2 linked regions of the Tribolium castaneum genome follow. Each later gene encodes a partner of the first gene's protein in a complex. Links are inferred from orthologs where the notes say so. Each region holds a gene or a part of one and is shown in the gene's direction. Other genes may lie near its edges.

Evidence for each region.
Region 2: the proteins of neurotrimin (region 1) and zwei Ig domain protein zig-8 are in contact, whole or in part, in a crystal structure (PDB 6NRW), measured with the Drosophila melanogaster proteins. The link is inferred for Tribolium castaneum from reciprocal best matches to the Drosophila melanogaster genes DIP-eta and dpr1. Residues at the interface, in NP_001188701.2 of Drosophila melanogaster: Tyr72, Lys73, Val74, Ala75, Leu77, Arg78, Val79, Thr81, Gln82, Thr83, Ile84, Ile87, Ile92, Thr93, Lys94, Asn95, Met124, Gln126, Ile127, Asn128, Thr129, Asp130, Met132; in NP_001286645.1 of Drosophila melanogaster: Asp82, Lys83, Ser86, Ile88, Lys90, Asp92, Leu93, His94, Ile95, Ala98, Tyr103, Thr104, Ser105, Asp106, Glu136, Gln138, Asn140, Glu142, Lys144.

Annotation. Positions count from the first base shown.
Region 1 is NC_087397.1:7,948,485-7,957,328, reverse strand, and holds the end of neurotrimin, read left to right. Parts: intron 1-661; coding exon 662-820; intron 821-2,937; coding exon 2,938-3,066; intron 3,067-3,116; coding exon 3,117-3,254; intron 3,255-4,045; coding exon 4,046-4,195; intron 4,196-4,893; coding exon 4,894-4,938; intron 4,939-5,395; coding exon 5,396-5,452; intron 5,453-7,074; coding exon 7,075-7,193; 3' UTR 7,194-7,878; downstream 7,879-8,844.
Region 2 is NC_087396.1:12,588,067-12,598,081, reverse strand, and holds the start of zwei Ig domain protein zig-8, read left to right. Parts: upstream 1-3,831; 5' UTR 3,832-4,243; coding exon 4,244-4,298; intron 4,299-10,015.

The DNA of each region.
Region 1 (8,844 bases):
TAACATGCAAATGTATGTAAAACAGCCATCAAATTACATAACACCGAATCATAGGACGTTTTAACATCACTTCTTGTGCAGCGCGTCGTATGTAACATTACAGGGTAGCTTATAACCGCCATCTAATTGCGTTACTTCTATTCCAAAACCCACATTTCCGCGGAGCGAACAGCACAATGTATTTATTTTCTTTATCTTCAAAGCGTTGTCGCTGATTTGCTTTTATAGAATTAATTACAACGTTAAAATTGTTGATCCACCAGATAACGCGTGTTGGAATGCTTGTACTTTCAAAAATCTCCACGCCATATCTGTTTATTACGAGCTAGAGATATGGATTAAAATGTTTTAAAGTTTTTCGGCTGAGCTTAGAGGCAATTTAAGTTGTTTAATTACCCCGACTGCCAGAATGATTTTATAAACCCTTTGTTTAAGAGATGTGCTTTTCTTAAATCTATTCGGATAGATTTGAGCTTACAAAGCCGATTATTTCGAACTTTGTCTATCTGGAAATAAACAGTTGTCTATCTTAGAGTTTGTTATATGCAAGTTAAATCTTGGATTGTGATGTTAAGTTGGATTGTGTTATTGTTGGATCTGCTTTGATAAAGTTGTTGAAGGTTGTATTTTGCAATAACCGAGTTTGTTGTTGTTCTTTTAGTGCCTCCGGATATCCTGGACTACCCTACGAGCACCGATATGGTGGTGCGTGAGGGATCCAACGTGAATCTTCGCTGTGTTGCCAATGGATCACCAGAACCTTCAATCAACTGGAGACGAGAAACCGGAGAGCCCCTCAAATTGTTAACGGGAGAAGAAGGTGATTACAAATTATAGCGAAAAGTCTGAACTAGACGTAGACATGATGAATGAGTAAATCGATTGTATTGTTATATTTTTGCGTTGTAAAGTGACGTTAACGAATCATGAAAAGGTTGAAAACTAAATTACAGTGCAGCGGGGAAAGTGGCTTAGCTGCATGTCTCGCTTTGGTTAATCGATTGGTTAATCATGGAGTATCCAATGGCTTGGTTATGAGAGCATGAAGGCATGAGTGTATTTTTCACACAATTACTAATTAATGAAAGTTCTCGGTAGGGTAGCTCCCGAATTCGGCGCCGCTTCCAGCGCGCATAAAGTCTAATATGTATAACGTTAAAAAATTGGAAACGGCTCGTGAAAAATGAATTCGCTCGTTATCTGCCCTGCTTTCTGGGTGTGTACCTATCGAGATATTAATCTCAAGTGCGGTGTATTGGGTGTGAAATTTCCGAAATTGCCTGAGTTCGGAATAAAGTTGCCATTGTTGAAAACATCGAAAGTTGAGCGGATCAAGTTCCGTCAAGAAAAATACACGTGAAGTGAGAGCAAGTGCGATTGTCACGCAAGAAAAGTCGAAGCCGAGTTTATCGAAAACTCGTAATAAAAATATGTAAATTTAGCAAGAGGCATAATGCAAGTATTTAGAAGTCACGTTAAATGACGAGGAAAAACGTGACGGAAAGTTCTGTTGAAAATTCAGAAGACACTTCGCTACTCTTCCATTGATTCACGCCGTTTGCAAACAAAAAAAGAACCATTCTTTATGCTCGGTCTCAAATGAATAATTAATTTCCATCATTCTTGCCTGGTTTGGGAGGCTTGCGCAGAAATCATATCGAGCCGAGATTTATCTCAGTCAGAAGCGGCTTTTCACGTTAATTGAAGGTCCTTCAGAAGCGCAGCAAAGCACACATCGCAAGAAGACACGTAATCGCCTAATGCGATAGCACAACCTGCCGCCAAAAGTGGCACAATCTTCTGAATAAATATACAAACTGCAGCGAAAAATATTTTGCTCGAAAATTTATCATTGCTTCAAAACGAGATCTCCAACGTGTCTTAACTACAAAACGGCCGGCATTACTCATGCCTTTGCCAACTTTACCTGCGGAATGTGTTAAACTTTGTGATGGGCGTGTAAACAACGTTACTCAATTTGCCTAATTATCTCATTTGCCATGTCTCTAAACAAAATCTTACCTAGGAAAGCAATACTTTTTTCAAATGACATAAAGTAAGTTTCATTCAGGGCTTTCCTCCTCTTGTTTTTGTAGTGCATTGACATTTCCTTTTATACGAAATTAAAATGTTACACAACATATAACATACATTCTAACTTTAACCTTTAGAAAAACGTATGCAGAACCTTGCGGTTAATTTAAAATGTCGCGAATATTAAACCCACTACCGCGATGTGTTCTTATTGTTTGTTTTTACAGAAGCAAACATACTTTTTATAACAAATAAATACTGACTTAAATGTTGTGATAAGATTCCTCGATTTAATTAAATTTGTAAGTCATAAAATTTTTAGTTGTAACATCAGTAAAACAATTTAAACATAATATCACAGATATATTGCTATTTTCTAGCAATATCCATCGCTTGATAGTGAATTTTGGAGCAGAAAAGAAGTTAAAAGGAGTATTGAAATTTTCTACCAAAAAACGAGAAATAATGACTATAATGACACGGAAAAATTGACAGCATAAATAGTTGAAAATGTTTTTTGTAATTTTCCGCCATTTTGATTCTTTAATAGGCATCTTAAAGCACTCATCGTCATCAAGTGCGATGTCATAATAGTCATTATTTGACAAAACAGTTTAGAAAAAATTTTAAACATTAAAAAAAATTATTTCTTTTTAAAATAATTTTTCGGGAGCGCGTCTTATGTTGTGTTATGTTATGCAAGATTGAACAAAATCTGAAAGAAACGGAAATAGTATCTACGAAGGTGCTTACTTACTGTACGTAACAATCTTTCATACCAATGGATCTTTAAATTTTAAATGTAATAATATGCAATTTTGGTGGAGGCGCCGGGTCAAAAGTCGGAACAAATTTATTATTTAACTCGCTAATTTTTCACAATTTGCGTTTTTGTGTTCACAGTGCCAAGTGTCGACGGTCCTGTGTTGAACATCAGTCGCGTGAGTCGGCAACAAATGGGGCCTTACCTGTGCATCGCCTCAAACGGCATTCCTCCATCAGTCAGCAAGCGCATCATGCTCATCGTGCATTGTAAGCAGTTTGAAGCGTTCACCGGTCCATTCTCATCAGATCTTTTCCAGTTCCTCCAATGATCTGGATTCAGAATCAGCTAGTGGGAGCATACGAGGGACAACAGATAACACTCGAATGCCACTCGGAGGCTTTTCCGAAGTCTATTAACTACTGGACCACTGATAAAGGCGAAATCGTTCCGCAAAGTTAGTACTTTTTTATTATTTCGCTGTGTAAAAGGAAAACGTGTTGCTTTTTAGATAAGTTTCTCGGACAGGTCTGACCGTTGGTTTGTTAAGAGCTAAAAGCACGATCACAACTTCCGTCTATGGATTTCACAATTTTTTTCTCGTCCTTTATTGTATTATTGTCTTTTCTTTTTCTCTCTTTTTTTTAATTACGCTGCCGGTTTTACCCTCATTTTCGGGTTTTGTCTCCGGATTTTTATTACTCTTTTTATTAACGAGCCCAATGACTTCACATTAATTTTGGCCTCTCGGGGGCTCATAATTTTATCAATTCGATACAACACAGCCGACGTAAAATATCACACTTGTGGTCCCACTGTAATTAAAATATACTACCTACCACTTGTTAGATTTTTTAATAACAAATCAAACAAGTTTTCGTTGCTTCTCCATAGACAGCGATTTCAAAAGGGTGCTCTGTCTTTGTTATAGTGATGTTTCTGGTTGCTACATATTTAGAAATAATTTGGACAGATTTACGATCCCGCTTCGCTATAAACCCTCATTTGTTGTCATGAAACAAAAAATATTTTGTTCGATAAATATGTGCCAAGTGGCGGCAATAGCTCTTGCGTGAACCTTACATTCGCAAGTATCAGTAACAATAACGTGGCAAATTGGCCGTCAATCGATGTAATACGGTAGTGACGCAATTGAGTCAATATTTTTCATGCTGAAAATTCCGGTATTATAAATTATAATCCAGATTTTATACCCGATATAAACCGTAAATTATTCCGTATTTTCAGGTGGAAAATACGAACCATCGTACTCGACGAACGGCTACAAGATCCACATGAAACTGACCATACGGTCGATAACTCCGCAGGACTACGGGAATTACAAGTGTGTATCGAAAAACTCTTTAGGCGATACGGACGGAACGATACAAGTTTTCGGTAAGTTGATTACGCTGATATTTCGAAATGAATTTTAAATGATTAGGCGAAGAATGAACCCAAAGGGGAAACTTATTCTTAGTCTCGTTTGAAATATTTCAACTTTGACTAGCGAACCGGGGAATCGCGTTTTATGCATCAAATACTACACTAAAGTCTTCTTTGATAAATACAAATCTGTATTGCTAATTACACACTTACTTGTAAAAATGACTCGAAGCACTACACTTCAGGACTTAATCTTTGATTTAAAACAGTATGGAAACTAGAGCGAGTTTTATTTTCAATTTGCAAACGTGCTGATTCATGTTTTGTTGCTAAATTTGCAGTTGAAGTCAGACTGGCGGAAAATAGTGGAAATTGTTGGCAAATACTTGCTCTAATTATTGCGTGATTGAATTAATCTATTAAATCCCCGTGGTTTGAGAGATTTTGTTTTATCTTTCACTGATCAAGATTGATTCAAACGCGTTGGTGATTTTACTTTAGTCAAATTTAATTTCGAATTTTATCGCCATTTATTGCAGAAAAAACACGATAGTGTAATTGCGATGTGGGTTTAATCAGATTAGTATGCTGTAATATTGGCGATAAAAATTTTATTGGGAAAATTTTCGGTGTTAATGCTGTCCATAAATGTAGAAGCGTCATATTTCGTATGATTGAGGAATGTTAACTGGAGTCTATATTTTTTACAGCCATACCTAAGCCATCAAAACTTTCGAATGGTTTATCAAGGAAAGGTGAGTTCGTAACATTTAACCCCGAAAGTTGGAAGGTACGTGACGTAATTTATAAAACTAACCCGGCTCTCTGTGTCGGTAATTTATCGTGCGGTGATGCGTATTTATGTTCCATACGTCCAACGTTTCCTCGATTAATTAACCGAGTTATTAATAATGAGTGAATAAATTGCGCCGAGGCGTGTAAAATCCGTCCAAGATCCGGCTTTAAGAAATCTCGGTTTAAAGTTCGCGCCGACTCTTGATTAATATACAAAAGCTCAGCATGGCGCAGACTGTCACGATTAACAAGCACGATTCCGCACTTCCCAGTCACTTACCAGCGAATTTAGGTGGAAACGTCATGTTAACATGCAATTTCATAATTTATTTCACTTACAAATCAACGCCGGTTACGTTTTATAAATTATATATTAGGACGGGATCGTTATTAATTTTCGCCGTTATGTTACCACAGGCAAACTTAAAAAGAAACCCAACGACGTCATCGGAGAACTGGAAAATATCGCCGACGGTGAGTAATCAATTGCTCTAGAAAATTATTCATATTGCAATGAATATTTCGTGGATCTTACGAACTTGCTTGTGGTCCCTTACGTATACACGGGAATGACCATAAATAATAGATCGGCCCCGACCACAAACCGACGATTTTCGCGTTATGGTGCGCCGCAAAACCACACTCTTTTATCCGACAAAGTAAAAAAACTCGAGATTACAAGCTTACCCCGTTCACGATTTTATCACATAATGCTTGTTTACAGACATCGAGGATAATACTTTGAGTTACAGTTGTAAAAGACCCCCTCTTCATGTTAAATTTTTAGCAGGAAAAGATAGCTCTTTCGAGTTGATGTCTTAAATTATACAAGACCGCCGACAGTTCAGTCAATTATTTGAAATATCCAGCTTTTGATCGAAGCAATTTCTACGAAGAGACATTTTTCAAAACTTTACTTTAGCATAAAACAGTGTTTTTTACAAAAAAATTTATTACCTAGTAAACGCTACCAAAGGAAATTTATTTATACTGCGCAATATTTACCTTCCGAGACAATTTTATGAATATTAAATTTTTTGTGAAACTGATAAAAACAAATCATTACTACGTCGCAAAAAATATAAATTGTGCATCATTTTAACGCAGTTTTGTTACACCAAACCAAGCGATTAAACAAACTGAAATAATCTGTGATTCTTTTAGAAAACATCGCGAAGCGTCACGCTGTAAATGCAACTGAATTTATCACTTGAAATCTCACTTTAAATTTGAACCCTTCAGCGAATGTTTCGCTAATAGGTGTTTTCCTACTTCTAGCTCGGTTCTTCACAACGTTGCATTCTATTAAAGCAAACTTGCAGCGAATTTCTTGTTTCCGTATCTAATTTTAGTAAAGCGGTAGACTGCATCACCAGTTTTTGTAACCATTCAAATGATCTACAACCAGACGTTCGCAGTAAGCAATTAAAACAGTAATATTGCGGTATTACACTTTTAATATTGTCAATTTATAGTTTTCTGTCTTGGAAACAATAAAGGTGCTTGCAGTCGTTGTCTGTAAACATTAATAGCCACCATCTGCAAATATACAAGTTGGAACTACACTTGCGAACAAGTTTACGATTCAAAGCAACTTTGCACATCGCAAGGATAACAACGATTCTTATCTTTTTATCAAAACTCCTGCAACAAGACGGAGTAATATTTTCCCGGCTTTCTATATAATTAAAGCTTGTTGTTCGCATTCATAAATTTTTTCCCGTCCTTTTTGGCTGTTTTCCTCTCAATCCAAGCATCGAAGCTTGATGATTTATGGGAGCATTGGAGCACATGTCTTTTAATATCTGTCGCGTAAGCCCCGAGATTGATTCGAAATCAAAGCCAGCCCATTACTCCTGTTTCCGCGATCATGTTCAGCCAAAATTTCAGTTTTAATAAAAAAAAACGCGCGAAGAGCTGTTTCAGATCGTTCCGAGTAATTTAGCGGCAACAAGGGATGATTGATTGCAATGCGCACTTGCTTAAGCATGGAGCACACATTAATAATTTAATAATTATTCCAAGACAATGTGTCCTTGATTGGTGATGTGTGAGGACGTGTCGTGATTGAAATTAAGCTGTCGGGTTTGTTTCAGGGTTGGACGACCAACCGGATTCCTTGTTCCAAGAAGAGGAGTACGGTTCCGGGGAACGTGCAAAAACCGGACTTATCTTCGTAGCTTTTTTAGTCGCGCTGCCTTTGGTCCTACAATAAATCTTACTCATGTTGTGCTGTGTACAAGAGAAATCTCAAGATTAACGCTGAAACAAGATGTGTTGTTCAGACGATGAATTTCTCTTCCTTAACTATTTTTTATATGCTTCCCTCGCTACAAGTGGTTTTAGTGATAAGGTCCATTTGGGGCACATGTGGCCGGAATCATTGTTTTTTTTTCTCGCATATATCATACACATTTGTCAGACAGTGCGAATGTCTGTTAGTGGCTGCGACTGATAACTGTATTCTTTGTAAGGTAATTAGTAAGCAATAGCGCTTTAGAAATAAAATTATTGGCAGTATGTATAATAATAGGTGGATTGAATGCAGTCAGGGCCCCATAAATATGGATTACAAGCGACATGCAAGTACTTAGTGTAGCAAAGTTATGCACATACTAATGATAAAACGAATTTTGACAAAGGCCAATCACTGGCCACAAACCTGGTCTCTCGTTGAGCTTCTCGTGGCTATAGATTCTGTCTCTGTGTTTAAATAAAAACAAATTTAGTGTTCAAGAGTCTGAAAGTCGATATGCATATCCTCAATCAACCGAGTCAAATGTTTCTTCCTATTTAGGTTGTTTATTCTCTTTGTGTATAAATAACGAGTATGTGAATAGCCGTATCATTCCATTTTGTATTGTGAAAAACTTGCTACTAAAATAAAATAGTTTTCTAAAGAGTCGTTTTATTTTCATCCAATTTATATTCCGCCCTTGCAATTTATCTATAATCTTGCTGCGGTTTGATTGTTTAGCGTCAGTTTTAATGGACCGCACAATAAACCGATTTATATGTATAGGTTTAAAAGGCAGGATAAATTTCATTAGCACTCCCGGAAATGCAGCACTTAGAATCCTTGGCACGCGTATTCGAAGGAACATAACGATTTGGCAAGCATCCCTTAGTAATATCGGTAAAAGTTTTGGTTTATTTTGAGTCGACTGTTGATCGTGTTCAACACCCGAAATGTCACTGTAATTATAAGGGAACACAAAAGGTACATTCGTGCAGATTTAGTTTTTGTCATCTACATTACAAAAGGTATTATCGCAATGAGGTGCCGCGCTGTTATTTCGAATCGTTAGATGTTATCACATCAAAACGTGTAGGTTGTTTCCGGGCGTTATTGTCAAAATACATGTCGTCGGCGACGTCTTTATCTCAAAGAAAATATTTTATTAATATGCTAAATCGAGCTGCGCTCGACACAATTTAGCGATTCCTCCTATTTTACAAAGGCGTTTCGAACAATATCGTAGCAGAAAAACGCCACGATTAAAAGGAGCGTGAAATTTATCGTCAAATATACAAAACGGGCGGATTTAGAAATTTTGTGGAAAAACTACCCAAAAAGCGGTGTAATTTACTCCTCGATCTTTTTTATTGAATTCGGGAGCACGCAAAAATGTGGTTTCCTAATCTGTTCGTAGAAAACCTGACTTATTAATTACTATCGATTTCTATTCTACCGTATAATTTTGACGGAATCAATGCAACGTGGAAATGGAACTGGATTTTTGTTGCACGAAAATAATAAATAACATTTATGTGGACGTAACAAAGAAAATTTTGAATAAAAAAATGTCCCTAACTCCAAGCTTCACAAAGCTGCATTCAACCCCTGTACCAAGATTAATTTCTAT
Region 2 (10,015 bases), on another chromosome or scaffold:
TTTTTCCGCTTAGGAAAAAACTGGAAAAGCCAATTTGCTTTGATTCCGAAGCCAAAACAAATAAACAAATATTCACAAATTGGAATCTATTTCTGAATGTAACGAGAGCATTTTTTTTCTCTTAAATTAATCACAAATAATAGCGTAAGATTAGTTATATTCATTTTCTTTAACAACACACTCGCAAAGTTTAAAAAGTAGTTTCAATATAAAAAATACGTTCTGCAATTTTAGAAAGTAATTTGTTCAAACTAACATTTTGTCTGTTTTAAAATTAATTAACGTATTATGAATTATTCTGTATAAGTTTTAAGTATGTACAACGATTAAGAGATAAAACTGTCCTTGCATTAAATTTTGCATTTTGTAATTTGGGGTGAATGCTTCAAAACAAAAAATAAATTAAATTTAGTTATCTAGTACTAAAATAGTAATGTCGTTTTTCATTAAATGCAGTCTCATGACAACTGCATAAAATCCTCCACCACTATGTGAAATACAACTTCCAAAACTTTGTAAAACTACGATAACGTTGAAAGTTTACGATTTTATCCGTATAGATCAGAGGTAATTGCATTTGATAGTTAAAGACTAACGATGGCTTAAATCTCCTCTATTTTAAGTACAAAGTTTAGTCGAACATGCCTATCCTAAAAAAAGTTTATTCAGTTAATGGATTTTGATGGCGTTATAGTTAAATAAAACCAAATGCATTTTCTGTAACTACTTCTTTGCTAAACCAATTTTAACCACAAATATAAAGTGCTCTTACCAACTCATTGTTAGGAAAAATGTAAAGAAATAGAAAAATATACTTTACTTTAGAAGCGGTAATTTTAATGGACACGAATTTATTAAATTTTTTGTTTGCTTTAAACCATTATTATTGCATAATTTATGTACAGTCTCTTGAAAACGTAATCGATAATCAATAAATAACATTCAGACTGAGCATTGATGAATATCTTCAAATTTTTATAACACCAATATATTTAATTAATCATCAATAAATTTATGAGCACCACCTGAAAATACCTATACTTAACCGCTGATTATATGTACATAATAATAGACCATCTATCAAGAAAAATTAATTATTTGTAACAGTGGTGACATCATAAGAATGAAACTTACATCGTTATAAGGTTCTAACTACGGAGACCAATTTATTTGATGAGAGATCTACCAATTTGAGAACAAATGCGTTCTCTGAGCTTCAAACAGGACAGAAATTAGGTCATTATTCGTTTAATTTGGTTACAAACACAAAAATTTGCGATAGAAAATAATTTTTGTGGTTGATTTTAATAATCTGAGTTTATTATAAGACAAATACATGTGTATTTATATAAATGTACAGGATGAGTCAATAGTGGGTTATTTCTATGTTCTAAGATGCAACCAAAAATACTAATTGCACTTTCCTCTTGAATACTTTGTTTGATTTTTAAAACATTAGTTGAATCAACATTGTTTTCTTATTTTTTAAATAATAATGACAATATTTTTATTCTCGTGTCATATTCTAAATGTGAGCGAATATTTTCCCTTCTAGGAAGCAGATAAATAGAAAATTCTGCTACAATTTTGTATTTTAAAAGCCGTCGGTGTATTTATTTGGCACCTACGCCTGTACGCGTGTATTGGAGGGTGCGAGGAAAAGTCAGCGAGAGATCTGCGTTTATCGACAGACACGACGATGTAAAATTGAAATACTAATTGACATCGTTTTGTTGTGCAAAGCAGGAGGCGCTTGTACAAAGGCTCACACCAGCTTGCAATTCTTTGTATTCGTGCTTCCTCATATGCAATTGTTCATACTGAGAGAATCTCAGACAAGACGTTTTCCAATTAAGTGAATTTTAAAAGAAACTGAATAAAAGTTTTGACAGTTTTCAAACCTGGTCAATCAAGTACGAAGCCAACGTAAGTTGAATGCAGCATTTTGCAAATGAAAGAACTCTCAGACTGGGTAATTGATATCGCGTTTTCGCCTCACCCTTTCCAATTTTAAGTCTTCGCCAACACATTTCTCTTTGTGATATAAATACCGGAGAATTTTAAAAATAAAATAAAAGTGAAAGCCCTCCATTTATTTGTAATATTTATATTTCGTTGGTAATGTCTCAAAAGAACTTCGAGTCATTTTAAATTACGTCACCCTGATTGTTTTGTGTCACCTAAGACCGGGTCTCCCCTACGGTTAATTTATGCCGCTATGGCACCATCACGTCTCCTTTCTGCTTAATGTCGTATTAAGGTTAATTAGCGATCATCCGACTCCAAATTTTAGCACAAAATTGTTATAAACGATGTGGCGACGAATTATGTAATTACAATTTTCAACATTACAGAGGGATAATCACCTCAATGTTATATGCAACAATACGTATTATATCGTAATAATTTATCGTATGGTGTTGTCACGCCAAAATTGCACTTTACTGGAACAAACTGTCATTTTTCTCAGTCCAGGGTTTATTAAATGATGTTGAAGAAAGTTGGTAATTAACAAGGATGTATCAAGTAGAGTACAAATTTTCGAGAACTTCTCAATTTGATCGATCATCACCATTAACCTAATTATATTCTCTTCTCATCAATGATGATCGATTGGATAGCTGGCTTATACATTATTAATTACAAGAAGGCTATTGAGTTTCCATCTCTTCTCATAATCTAAGGTTACGTACAGGAAATTATCCAACCTTGCACTTAACTGATCTTGAATAATTTATCACAATTTTTGAGTTCAAGAATATTAAAAATATTACGCTTTGTTTGTTACCTAATAGCAATTTGTTTTCACATTAAATATTTGAACATACAGTATCTCATGTTTCTTGGCAAAATTTCGAGTCAAAAAATATTTTCCTTTAAAGACTCGTATTACAAACACAAATAACGCGCCTTCCTTTCGTGTAAACAATTTTTTTTTTAAGAAATAATTTACAAAAAAATTAATTACGTTTTTAATTAATTGTTTAAACCAGATTGTTTTTGTTCCTGCCTATTCGCTGTTTATTGTAATGTTAATTATCGCACACAATACGGATGCAGTTGTGCTGGTAAAGAAAACATCGAGTTGGAAATTTGGAGAGTATTAAATTTCTGTGAATAATTAAGTGTATTTTTCTTTGACGTTTGAACAATAAGACGGCAGGAAATTCTCTCCCGAGGTGTCCCGGATAATTTTTGCATAATTTTCCTTGAACTTTTAATTAGAAAACACCTGAAACGCCTATTAGAGCCGATGCCGTTCATAGTGTAGTCGAGTCTCCAGCACCCACAAGAGACCCTTTTATTTAAATGTGCGTCCATATCAGCAATCTTGTTAAAATAAATTGACGCAGAACGTGAATCCATTGTACGCGAATCGAAAATTTGATTACGGCCCGAAATCCGTCATTCTAAGTAATAACAGAAAGATTCTTGTATCGAATTTTCGCGTCAACATAAAACTCTCGAAATGGTCGTCGAAGTTAAATTGCGACAATTTTTTTACGGTCTGTCCCTCCAATTACTCAGGGGTTGAGTTGCATTTAAACGAAATTAAAATCGATTCGGGGGCTTCGAGTCGCTACTTATGTCAAGAAGGGTAACAGTTGTAAAGCTCTCGAAAACCTGGAAGTACCGCTTATCTGGGAGGTGGCCACCGGCGCGATAGCCCCGACTTGTCAAAGGCTCTGTGATAAGAAAGGGACGATTTACAAGTGGAGTGGATCCCAGGAACTGTCCATCAATATCGAATCTGTGTTATCAGCGATGACTATAATCATAATAGAATTAAAGGGACGGACGCAGGCGCCGGAGTTTGACCGGGTTTTGCGGCGTCGAGGCGCCACTCGTTCCCTGAAGGTCTTTCTCTACACTTCGCGGCATGTTTGCAATCCGCAACCCGCGCACTCGAACTCCGCCTGATAAGCGCGCTAATTGCCACCATTAAACTCCTTTATCAAAAGCAACTTCATCCAAAAAATAGAAGACTGTAGATTTAACGTAATAACCGTTAGTTGTAATCATCTATGGTGTAGCTAGTTTAGTGAACTCCTGTGATTTTAATTCCCCAGTGCAGTGTTAGTGTCTCTTGGTGCACAATCTCGAATTAAAAGTAGATTATTCGGATGATCGCAAGCGCTCGAAGAAATAATCGGATAGAAAATGACACACTGGTGAGAGACTCGGCGATAATGGTAACAAATTACAGTGCTGGTGGTAATGTTGAAGGACCCCTCTAAGCGCAATGGAGAACGCACGAGAACTTTTGTTCTTAGGCCTTTTGTTTGTAGCTTGCGTGGGTAAGTTGCACCGACCTTCCCTTCACTTTTCCATTGTAGCGTTATGATGTTTTCTGGCAGAGCGTCGATTGTGGGCGCCGATACCGAATTTAAAGCAATTACGGGCGAGATATCATCGATTTTTCCACATACCGGGGATTAATCTCTGACTAGCAGCCGAGTTAAATAAATATTTCAGATATTTCTTCATCTGCAAATATTATGCAAATCAGAATCAATCAAATATTCCGGAGTTCTTTTGCTGGAACGTTTCTCAAATATCGAATTCTCGATATAGATGTAAAACGCTCAAATAAAAGCGATTCCACTTGCTCTCTAATTTATGGTCGCCCTAATCCAATTTATTTACTAATGCTTCGTATTTCACCCGCTGCACTTAAGTCGCGTAATGAGATTTTGGATTTTCTATAACGCGTTCTTTCTCGTTTTGCGTTTTTTGTGAAATATGCTTTATTTTACACGTATGAATGACAGAAGGGAAGAATTGGTTGCATTAGGGAAAGCGTGAATGTTCCATTAGTGTTATTAAAGATGTGGTTAGTCGGTAAAATGGCAATGCCGGAATGCTAAGACAAGTTGCAATTGCTGTACATAATGTTGACTAAGCTTTCCCAGAAATGCTGTTCATTTGCTAAATAGAGCGCATACCTTCCTGGATCACTTAGCCTCCTACTCTCAAAAATAGAATTTTGCAAAGTTTCCTTGCACTTAAAATGGTGCGAATAAAGTTATAAGAACGTGAAAATCTGTTAAGAAGATGCGGTGTAATACACGGAAATGCTTTTTATTTTAACTGACAGAAGACGTAGCTGGTAAGTCAGACTTGAAATTGTTATTAAATTTCCAAGAGTGGGTGGCCCAATTCAGTTTTTGCAGTTGACAAGTTTCTAATTGAAAAAAATTGAAAAATCGATAAGACGTTGCTCTCTTGGCCAGTTGAGATGAACATTTTTGCTAGTAATTTAACTTCGGTGCTTGTCATTATTAATTAAGTTGGAGAATGTTCCAGTTTCATAAAGTAAAGTTGTAATTACTTTTGTGGACGGTTGTAATTTAAGGTAATGAACAATTGTGCAGCTGTGTCAGGTGACCTGTTACGGCTTAAATTTGGGGCGAAACATTTGTAGTTGGTTTTATTTCCGTCATTCAGAACGGCTTTGATCGCGGCCATTTATCATACAAACAAGCAGTCGTTGAAGCAAGGACGAAGGGATATCTGACAGTCGGCCAGATTCCGATGAAAAATAGAGTTCGATATCGTCAAAACTGACCATTAAAAGTAAAAAGCTTCCAAGTTGACTTCGAGTTAACCGTGTGGAAAACACAAATAAAATTGTGTATTAGCAAGGTCATTCCGGCCTTTCAGACGGAAGTCGATCTTGTTTTTATGAAGGGTTGATCACGAAATGATAAATATAAAAACTTAATTTTATACGACGATAAAAATGTTTGTGCTACACTTAAGCGCTTATACACTCGGACTAATAACTCTTTTATTTCTTGTATTTTTGCTTGAAAAAGCACAATACGATTCGTGAGTGGTTTATTCAGTAATTTACAACACCTATACATCGGTATTTTGCTATAGATGGTCTTAATTTAGTTGATTTTCTCCGCATAATGCTTCAAGCGTCAAACTTTGTCTTTGAAGTCACATGCATGTGTTTCCAAGATCGAATATAATGTTAGTTTTAAACTAAAAGCTACACTTTAAATTGATTCCGCATCAACACCACGTTTATTAGAAATAACTAAGTTAACATATTGCTACATTTTGCGTGACCCGGTACACGAAGAAATTAATTGCGTTTAAAAATAACAAAATCTGAATATTTATGCAGCCGTAAAACTGCTTCTTTTTGCCGGTCGTTTTTCTAGCCTCATTCTTCGGCGTAAATGCGGTATTTCATGACCAAAAAGGACACTAAAATGCCGCCAAACTACTCTCGGCAACTCAAAGCGCTATGTAAAGGCTTTGTTAACGGTTTCACAGGACTGAACGTTTAGCATCGAGTTTTGGCTAATTTAAAAAGATTTATAATGAGGGCACAGGCAAATAGACTTTTAAATAGTTTTATCAAATCATGCAAATTAGGGAAGGGTAAATTTACTTTTCTGCCCTCGCAAGAATCAAGCCTTTAAAATTGCTTGTACTGATGGGGTCCCAAAAACCTGTGACCAAAGTAATGAAACACTAATGGTCACTAACGACTGCTGCTTTGACCCCAGCAACAACAGACGGTGCATCTGAAGATAACTTAATAGAACTGCTGAAAGCTTGTGGGGATATGGGAAGGGGATTTTCAGTTCGAATAGCAAAGGCGGATAATAGCTATGCTAATTTTTGGTTCGCTAATATTGATTTTGTTTATTCGCGCTAATTAAAAGTAATTAAACATAAAAGGTTTAAAGTGCTGGTGGTTACAACCATACTTACAGAAATTTCGGTTTTTACACGCAAAAAAATAAGCCTAGCTTATCATTAAAGCTTAATATTAAATTTTAATAAAACATAAATTTATAAAAATATTTTCTCGCATATGAGTTAAAATAGAAATGGGTCAATAAAGATGGAGATAAAATACACGACATGAAACTTTTACAGACTTGTATCAGAATTCACATAATATTGATCGTTTTTTAATAGAAGTAATAGCTGGGTATATCTATACGAGTGGTTCGAAAGATAGCAAATACGGTTTCGATAATACAAATTAATTTTGAAAACGTTTTATATTAAAATTATGAAATAAACTTCTCTCTTGTATTTCTGCTAAAAAAGTTTAATTATAAAACTTCTAAAACTGGATACGGTTTCGTCGGCAGTTTATAAAAGCTGCATAGTTCAACTATTATTATTACAATTTGTTGTAAAAATAATTAAAAAAATAATTAAAAAATTAACTAAAACTAAAAGTTGTAATAAGTAATAAAATTGGATTGATTTTCTAGGATTTTAATTATTACAGGTGAATAACATCTTTTTGTATATTGTATGGTGTGTGACATCAATTAATTTCCATTTTCTTGAAGAACCTCAGGTGACCTACTGACCGAACCGCGATAAAAAGTCAACAGAACTGAACTTTGAAATTCATCTTCCACGTTCCATCAATCTGGAAATTCATTTTCAAGTGCCATAGGCAGGCAGATGCCATTTCTTGCGTTTTGCGAAAATATTCTTGATCTTCGAGCCCATCTGGCAAATTAAATTTGTTATTTATTTTTTCAAATTTACGTTTGATATTGATCTGTTTTCGTTGAATATAAAACAAGAGTATCATTGCTTCCTCCCCTGGCTATTGTTTTCCTTGTAATTTCCACGCGGTATCAAAGCCCAACTGTCACGTCAGTAATATAAAAATTTTCCTTTATTTTGTCGATGGAGGGCGTACCACCATGAGGATTAATGACTCGTATAGAAGTTGACAAGTGTTCGACCTAGACAGTGTTCAAAGAGACGTCGCAGGATGGCACTTTGAAAATAATGCGGTCGGAGATGAATGAGTATCGAGGACGTGAATGTGAGTGAGCGACGGCGACGTCCGCTTCGATAGGCACTTCGGAGGTACGTCGCGACGCGCGGCGTCGCCCTCATAATACGTCACCTGCAGACGCAACAGACACTAGATGGCGTATCATCAAAACACCATTTGGCACACAACTGTATCATCAGCATCATTCACTCAATACAGAATGTTGCACGACAAATTAATCTTCGCTACAGAATATCTAATTTGCAGCGAATCGAGCATGGACATGGACGATGACTTATTCAAATTGTAATGACAACCTGCTGAAATCGATTATTCAGCCCATAGGACTGCCAACACGAACACACAGCCAATCGAAAATAAAATTTGCACAATATGCAATTAATTCCTTATTTACCAATGCAAATCCGGAAGGTAATTTTTGAGCAATCAAGGAGACGTAATACGATCGACAGTTGAAAAACTTATAATGATTCTCTTCAATTTACACAATGACATTTATATTCCTAATTAGATGCGCTCCAAACAATGTGTTAATGGAGGTTTCAATAAAACAAAACCAAATTAAAACCACTGTAAATTGCATAATTAGTAGTGGGTATAATATTAATGATACATTTGTTACAAATGTGTACAATAAAACAGTAATTCGCGATCGACAAATTCTGTTCAAATATTTCTGCACAAAATTATTTGCTTTAAATGTAAACAGCTAATAGAATTTTTTTAGCTTGTTGTACGGGTATGCAGTTTAGTTTTATAAAATTGGCTCCTAACTCAAGGCCAGATTACCATATCAAATTTAGAAATTGCTTGCTGTTTAACAAAATCGCATTTTTTAATATACTATTATTATTTGTATTTTTTAATTAATTCTACACACTAGTCGACGAAGTGATTTTGAAAATTTAGTCTATTTTGCTGCAGTTAACAATTGCAGTAGCAATTTTATTAATTTTAATGTTCACATTTTTGTACAAACTTTTTAATAAGCAATTAGTTGGTGCAATAACAGAACGTTATTTTTTGCAATTTCATACATATTGAAATATGCGAGTAAAGTTGAGAAGTATTTTACCTTTACCATTACTTTGTTTTTAGGTTCACATACATTTTAACTATTTATTTCAATTAAAAATAAAAAATTACAAGAGTGGAGGCAAACATAAATTTAAAAAAATAATCTGACAAAATTACACATTATTTCATAATGTCACTATAGTAAAATTAAGTCGTTGAACACAATGTACATTAAAGATATCACAGTTTTGTTAGGCGCAAATTTAAATTATTATTAAAATAATTTTTGTTCGATATTGCACAGTAAATTTCCTATTATGACTTCAAATCACCAACTTTTAAATAACTGTATTTAATAATTGTGTCAACTAACAATATTAGATCTTGTAAACCTCATGTCGCCTTTAATATTTCTTTTAGTAAAGAGTGTGCAGAGCACAAGAAATCTGGCTCATCTCGCCGGTCAAGCGCTCTGTTCTCAAGAAGTGCCATTACATATTTGCCGGAGGGAGGTTTGCGAAGAAGCAGCTCGTAAATAATCTCAAAATTTTTTATCTATGAAACAAATGATGGAAGAGACAAATTATAGGAAAGGTTTTTTCGCAAAATTTATGTTCCTCCGTTTACATAATTTATCACGCGTTTTCGCTAAATTCAAGCGGGTCTAGAAAATCTTTGGAAATTTAATAGTGTGTCACACATAATGGGGCTTATTAAAGCGAGCAAACGACGTTTGTTTCCCACACGTTGCTGAATTAGAATAATCGTTGAGGAAATTGTTAAATGCTGTCGGACAATTGCAATTAACAATTCGTGGCCGAAAGGCAAGCGGATAATTAATGTTAGATGAGTGTTGTGTCGTTAGTCGCGAGAAGAACATCTTGTCATAGTTGAACTTAAACCCTCGGTGTGACCTTATTTTAACGTATCAAACATTGAGGAATCCTTGCTCCAGCCTGAACCACATTGTTACTATTAATGAAGATCACAGATTACGAGGTCACCCGAATAAACTCAACAGACAGTCGGGATTAAAAGATAAAGGTTTTTCTGTCCCGAAAATTGATTGTTCGTATAATTAAACTGGTGGTTAATTTATTGGAGCGGGACAAATAAAACATTCTTTTGAATGATGATATATTGTTTGAGGCTGTATTTACAGCTACAGCGATAAACACATATTTACCGTACTAAACACATTCC